Ovis aries: one gene and its partner. The main gene of each other region encodes a partner of the protein of the gene in region 2 in a complex. Links are inferred from orthologs where the notes say so. Each region holds a gene or a part of one and is shown on either strand. Other genes may lie near its edges.

Region 1 (2,998 bases), on a different chromosome or scaffold from region 2:
TTAATCTCTGAGAGCTATGGCCATTTAAGCCTACAGCCCCCACCCTGGGCTAGTGCCATGATTTAAATTCACAACTCCTGATTCCCAAGCCTTTGACTGCTCCAACCAACAAATCACATTTAAACATCCTGTAACCTTGTGTTTCCCAAATCTAACTGTGAATTATAATTACCAAAGGATATCATGGCCCTACCTTTGATCGATAAAACTGGATATAAGTGTCCTAATCCTGTACGGCACAGAGCAACCTGCCTTTTAATATTTGGATACCTAAAGCGATGCCACAAATGAAGAAACCAATTTGCAGAAATTTTTCTCACAACACCATGTAAAATTGGTTCATGTCTTTGTTCCTTTACAGTAATTCTGACCTCAGTCTTTAATTCTGCTCTGTCAAACAAAATCATACAGATTTCAAATCCAGTTGGAAAATAAATATGTGTAGCAAAAAATAGACTTGGGCTTCAATTATTGGAATTTTAACAGAAACCTGGCCAGAGGAATTGCTCAGAATAAAAGAAAAACACAAGTCATGACAACTTACTGAAGACAATTATCAGTCTCTTTTCCTATTTTGTAAAAGAGAATTAACAAATACAAAACAGCCACAGGACTACAGATGAGGCAATAAGTTTATATTCCTTTCCACTACAAGTGGGGTCATTTATGTGTCTCAGACCTGAATAAAATACAGGTAACAATCTAAATTCAATCATGACAATAAAATACTTTCCATTTTCCAAGTTTGATGGTAATAATATATTTACACTTTTAAAAATATTTTTTCCTCATTTTTTTTCTTTTTTAAAAAGACAGAACATGCTCAAGAGTACACAGAGTGTGGAAAAAATCATCACTTTGTCTAAGAGATCAAACAGTAATATAAAACAATGTTCTTTTACATAGTCAAGCCAATTCAAGAATGATACCATCAGGGAATCTAACATGGTGTTTACTTCAAAGATGACACTCAAGTAGTTATTTAGAATACTATGCCTAATGTACCTATCAAGAAGTAAGCACTGCTATCTAAATTTTGTGGCTTTTAGTATCTTCTATATCCACCACCACCTCCTCCATACGGATCTCCGTAACCTCTTCCACCATAGCCTCCTCTTCCTCCATAGCCTCCTCTTCCACCATAATCTCCCCTCCCACCATAATCTCCCCTGCCTTGGAAACCTCCTCCTCTACCACCCCCTCCCCCGGCCCCGCCCCACCCCCCTCCCCCTCCCCCTCCCCACCCGCCTCCACCACCTCTCCCACTCCCACCACCTCCTCTGCCACCTCCCCCACCCCACCCACCCCTTCCACCGCCTTCCTGTCTCTTTTGCCAAGGCGGCATCTCAGGGGGTGGTGGTTCAATTTCATTCGGCCGTCCTCCCCTGTCAGGCACCCTTCCCATCAGCACCTGTGTAAAGAAATATTTTCTTTCAGTTTCCAATATTGCAAAAGTCAAAATTTACTTAAAGGATGCAAGCAACATTGAAGTTATTGTTCTAATAAAGAAACAGAAGCCAAATATTTTAGGACATGAAAGTACCAGACATGGCAATATGAACTAATATTGAAAATATAAAAGTGATGTGTGACAAACTGCTCACAATGTGCTGTTTTTTAAACAGTGTGAGAGAATATGTATGAAACTTAAGAACTTGTTTAAACGTTTTTAGTAAATTTTATAACAAATGTAGTACCCATCACACTAAGAAAACTTTTTAGCAAAACATTTACAATGTACATAAACTTCATACCCTATACAACTTAACTCCATATTCACTCACACAACTCTGGACTTTCTATTGCCACTGGTTTGGTAATAGATTATCTCATAAAAGACTATTTCTAAGCACATTTTATTTCAACAAAGTATGAAGTACATATGATAACACGTGGGTGTAATACAGGCAGAGACGAAGGTTATCAACTGCAAAGAGCTATAAGGATTTTCAATGAACTATTCCCTTTTTTATGAGAAACTTAAGCTAACTTTCAATGATACTAGTTACTATATTATTAAAAAAATTAAGACAATATACTTCCTTAACCATGCTTCATAGTATTTCACAGAATAAACTAAGGAAGAGTTTGCTTCAAGTACCTAAATTTCTGTAGAAAGGAGCTATTTTATATGTCCATGAACAGAGACCAATAGGAAGCAAATCATTTCCTGCTAGTGTCTTTCAGTAAAGATAAAGCCAAATGTGCCTCAGCCAAAATGACCTATGAATCAGTTGTGTTCTACTTTCCTGATCCTCTAATCAAAATCATGTTTTACTACTTTATATCATAAATGAAGACAAAAAAGTACAAATTCCTCACTGTTGGACAAGCTTCAAAGTACACATATATTCTTCAAAGTATACTATAAAGTCGGCAATAATGTCCTAATTACCAAATCCAAAAAGCAGCTTTTCTTGGTTATCCTCATTGGTCTCTCCACCAAACATTCAATGTTGGTGGATATACAGGGACGCTGTTCCAAGATCTGATAATAAGATTGCCCTCAAATAATTAGACTATCAATTACAAACTCAGAAAAGAGACGGGCAATATCACTTAAGAGAACTCTTGATCCAGAAAGACCTTGATGCATGATATAAAGTAACATATTTAAAATCAGAACACTTTCAGAATAGAGGAGGCTGATCTAAAATGGAAGCAGGAAGGCCCAAGCACTGGTGCCTAACTTAACAATAATTAGCAAACCGACTTTATATACAACCATCTCCTGCTACAGGACACCTTTCTCACTGCACTGAGAATTGATATTGTAAAATTACCCAATTCCCATACTTCTGACTTTTGGCTCTTAAGTTTGTCATAGAGTGCTCAAACTGAAGAGTATATACTAGACAAGCTGATATAAACATTCTAAATTATCTTATTGTTGCTGCCACTGTTGTAAAGGAAAAAATTCAGACTCTGAGTTGATTTCAGACCACTGTCAGAGAAATGGACCTATACTCTGAATCAGGAAATGGAACATCCAAGAGAT
Region 2 (4,510 bases):
TCACCCTGCTTATTTAACTTATATGCAGAGTACATCATGAGAAATGCCAGGCTGGATGAAGCACAAGCTGGAATTAAGATTGCTGGGAGAAATATCAATAACCTCAGACACCACCCTATGGCAGAAAGAGAAGAGGAACTAAAGAGCCTCTTGAGGAAAGTGAAAGAGTGAAAAAGTTGGCTTAAAACTCAACATTCAAAAAACAAAGATCACAGCACCCTATCCCATCTCTTCATGGCAACTAGATGGGGAAACAATGGAAACAATGACAGACTTTATTTTCTTGGGCTCCAAAATTACTGGAGATGGTGACTACAGCCACGAAATTAAAAGACACTTGCTCCTTAGAAGAAAAGCTATGACAAACCTAGACAGCTTATTAAAAAGCAGAGACATTACTTTGCCAACAAAGGTCCGTCTAGTCAAGGCTATGGTTTTTCCAGTGGTCATATATGGATGTGAGTTGAACTATAAAGAAAGCTGAGCATCGAAGAATTGATGCTTTTGAACTGCGGTGTTGGAGAAGACTCTTGAGAGTCCCTTGGACTGCAAGGAGTTCCAACCAGCCAATCCTAAAGGAAATCAGTCCTGAATGTTCATTGGAAGGGCTGATGCTGAAACTCCAATACTTTGACTAAACTGACTCATTTGAAAAGATCCTGATGCTAGGAAAGATTGAAGGCAGGAGGAGAAGGGGATGACAGAGGATGAGATGGTTGGATGACATTACCAACTTGATTGACATGAGTTTGAGCAAGTTCTGGGAGTTGTTGATGGACAGGGAAGCCTGGTGTGCTGCAGTCCATGAGGCTGCAGAGTTGGAACTGAGTGAGTGACTGAATTGATTGAAGAGAAAAATGAGCTAGGGAGACACGCAGGGTCTAGAAAGTACAGAGCCTAGTATGCTATGATAAATAGTTGTACTCTATACAGAGGACTTTCCCAGGTGGCTCAGTGATAAGAGAATCTGCTTACCAAGCAGGAGACGGTTTTCCAAGACCCGGGCTGGGAAGATCCCCTGGAGAAGGAAATGTCAACCCACTCCAGTATTTTCCCTTGGGAAACCCATGGACAAAGGAGCCTGATGGGCTCTAGTCCATGGGGTCAAAAAAGTTGGACAGGACTTAGCAACTAAACACCAGCATACAGAGAACAATGTGAAATTAATTAAAGAACTTTAGAGGGGAAATAAGAGCCAAATTTGTGCTCCCAAACCACATCCACCTTTAGGGCTAACAATTTAACGTTTATATAGACTAACTTTAGAATCTGCACTATATTTTCACATTTATTATTATCTCATTTTGCCCTCACAGGAAGGAACAGAATGCAAAAAGAGGTTATGTGATTTGCCTAAAGTCACTAAGCTACAAATGGCAAACCAGGTCCTTTTACTAACACAGGATACAAGTAAGACATTAGTAGTCCTCTACTTATAACTTTCTTATCCTCTACCCTAGCCACATTCTAACTACAGGACTGTTGGAGATAGATGAGGATGGGGGTGGTTACACAAAACACTTCAAAACATGGCTCTCTTCACAATGAATACACCAGTAAAACTCCCTCAAAGGTCTGTGTAGACAAAGCTATAGCTTTTCCAGCAGTCTTGTATGGATGTGGGACTCCCCTGCTGGCTCAGACGGTAAAGAACCCGCCTGCAATGTGAGAGACCTGGGTTTGATCTGGGATGGGAAGATCCCCTGGAGGAGGGCATGGCAACCCAGTCCAGAATTCTTGCCTGGAGAATCCCCATGGACAGAGGAACGCGGTGGGCCACAGTCCATGGGGTTGCAAAGGGTCGACAGGACTGAGCGACTATGCACACACACGGACTGATGTGAGCACTGGACCATAAAGGCTGAGCGCGGGACAATTGATGCTTTTGAATTGTGGTGCTGGAACAGGTCTTGGGAGTCCCTTGGCCTGCAAGGAGATCAAACCAGTCAATTCTAAACGACATTAACCCTGAATATTCATTGGAAGGACTATAGTTGGAAGCTGAAGTTCCAATACTTTGGCCACTTGGTGCAAACAGCCAACCCACTGAAAAACACCCTGATGCTTCCTGCTGGCTCAGCTGGTAAAGAATCCACCTGCATTGAGGGAGACCTGGGTTCCATCCTTGAGTTCTGAAGATTTCCTGGAGAAGTGAAAGGCTACCCACTCCAGTATTTTGGCCAGGAGAACTTCATGGACTATATAATCCATGGGGTTCCAACAGTCCGACACGACTGAGCGACTTTCACTGATGATGGGAAAATTGAAGGCAAAAGGAAATCGGGGCAGGAGGTCAAAGGATTAGATTGTTCCATAGCATCACCGACTGAATGGACATAAATTTGAACAAATTCCAGGAGATGGGGCGGGGGAGGGGGCTGGCGAACAGCAGTCCCTGAGGTAGCAGAATCTGACAGGACTCAGCAACTAAACAACAAAAATTCCCATAAGATAAATGTGACTAGCATATACAGGGAGAGTTCAAGATATTGTATATGGGGGAGCCCAGGTTTCCCGACTCTCAGACCAGGTGTCTTTATTCTTCAGCGTTTCAGCTTTCCCGGGATTAGTTCAGATGAGCATTCACACAGGGCGAAAACGGGAATTGCGCCAACCACCCTATGGCGCAAAGTGGAAGAGGAAGCCAGAGCCCTCCCGCAAGGAGAGAAGTGAGCCACCTACTCACACTCGTACTTCCGACTGACTGGAGGATACTTGGCCTTGATCGCCTTCTGCTCCTCAGTCAAATTGTAATCTCTTACATCTTCCCCTTCCTGCGCCATGATTGCGGGTTTGGACCCAAACTCAACTTCCGCCCTTCATCAGCCGGACTTCAGCCCGGACTTTCAACATCCGCCCAAGACTCCGCCCCTAGACAGATACCCTTAAAGGGCTAAAACACCATCCTCGAGGACTTAATCCCCTAAACCTTAATCCTTAAGACTTCCGTTCTAGGTCTCGCCGCTTGGAGTTCTTTAAAAGCCCAAAGGCCCATTTTCTGGACGTGCTTCATCAATAGTCCTAAGAAGTAAGGGAACAAATATATTGGAGGATCTAGGAATAGGACAACACTTGAATTAGATACCTCGAGGTGAAATAAAGGCCTTTCTTGCCAGTTTACCCCTAGAGTGGCCAACTAGACCCCAAAACATCCTAAATTTCTCATTCAAAGCCCTACTTTCAAGGGGTCGCTAGCTGAACACTCTTCAAGAAAATGGCTGCCCCCCCAGGAGCGTGCGGCCTAAACCTCTCACGTGACCTCGGGCGGCTCACTCTCACCAACCCGCGCGCGCGCAAGCGAAGGAAGTCGGCTCGGGGCCGTGTGGGGGCAGGGGCGGAGCGCGCGCCTCGGCCCCGCGGCAAGAGACTCTACGCGTCTGGATAGGTTGCGAACGCGACTTCCCCGCCCACCTCGCCGCTCGGCGCACTCCGATTGGCCGGTGTTGGCGCGAAGGTGCGCGAGTCATCCCTCACGCAGGGGCGGCAGGAAACAATAGAGGCCGCGCGCGCAGAGCGAGCGCCCGCAGGCTCCCCGCCCCTCCCGCAACGCTCAACCCCGGGATCCCCGCCGGCTTGCCTACCCGCCATGGCCGACAAGGAAGGTGAGGGTTCCGGGGCGGCCCCAGGAGAGTGGGGGGTGCCGGGGTTGCGTAGCGGCCTCGAAACGGCCTAACAGTGAGGACAGGCCAGACTCAGCTGAGTGTCGTCCCCGCCATCGCAGGCGTGAGGAGAATCGCCCCGCGGGGCGGGTTAACGGCGCGCCAGCTCCTCCAGAGCAGAGGCCCCGGCGCAGCGGCTTGAGGCAGGCGTTTGGGTCCCCGGCGGGTGTTTGGTCCTTCTCCACACGCCCTGTCGGTCTGCTCGCCTCTCTTCGGGTCCTCCCTGCAGTGCTTTCTGCCCGCAATGGCCGGTGCTCCGGCCTCCCCGCCGGTTCTGTGCTCCTCCCGATGCCGTCGCCCGAGCGGCTAACGGCGTTTGGCAGCGATGAGCCCAGCAGTTAAAGCCCCGCGAGGCCGGAGAGCGGCGTTGGTGGCTGTGCCTCGAGGAGATTTAGACAGATCTCCATTTCAGAATCGGGATTTAGGAGTGCCGGTGGCTTTGGAAGTGTTTACTCGGTTTCCATTTGTGGTCGCTAACTTAATTTGTTTTTTTATTTTTTAGCAGCCTTTGATGACGCAGTAGAAGAACGTGTGATCAACGAAGAATACAAAATATGGAAAAAGAACACCCCTTTTCTTTACGATTTGGTGATGACCCATGCTCTGGAGTGGCCTAGCCTAACTGCACAGTGGCTTCCAGATGTAACCAGGTGATAAGAATCCGTTGAATGTTATTTTGTTGTGTTCTCAGTGTAGATTTCTCACATTGATTATCCTTGTTTTCCTCTCTGCAGTCACCCGGAGCGGACACGTGATCAGAACCTATTGGGAACATTTTTTTTCTAGGCCAAAAAAGACAAAATGTGAAACTACTTTGCAATTTACCTGATAAGTGAAAACATGTTGATGTC

What was found.
Region 1: ZBTB8OS (region 2) and FAM98B share a complex: the UniProt entries of both Homo sapiens proteins name them as parts of the tRNA-splicing ligase complex. The link is inferred for Ovis aries from reciprocal best matches to the Homo sapiens genes ZBTB8OS and FAM98B.

Annotation. Positions count from the first base shown.
Region 1 is NC_056060.1:32,293,606-32,296,603, reverse strand, and holds the end of FAM98B (protein FAM98B), read right to left. Parts: intron 1,412-2,998; coding exon 1,046-1,411; 3' UTR 545-1,045; downstream 1-544. UniProt on the Homo sapiens protein: Positively stimulates PRMT1-induced protein arginine dimethylated arginine methylation.
Region 2 is NC_056055.1:234,983,279-234,987,788, reverse strand, and holds the start of ZBTB8OS (protein archease), read right to left. Parts: upstream 2,808-4,510; 5' UTR 2,784-2,807; coding exon 2,687-2,783; exon of another isoform or gene 2,683-2,686; intron 1-2,682. Other genes in the region: histone-binding protein RBBP4, read left to right, coding at 3,587-3,602, 4,162-4,309. UniProt on the Homo sapiens protein: Component of the tRNA-splicing ligase complex required to facilitate the enzymatic turnover of catalytic subunit RTCB. Together with DDX1, acts by facilitating the guanylylation of RTCB, a key intermediate step in tRNA ligation.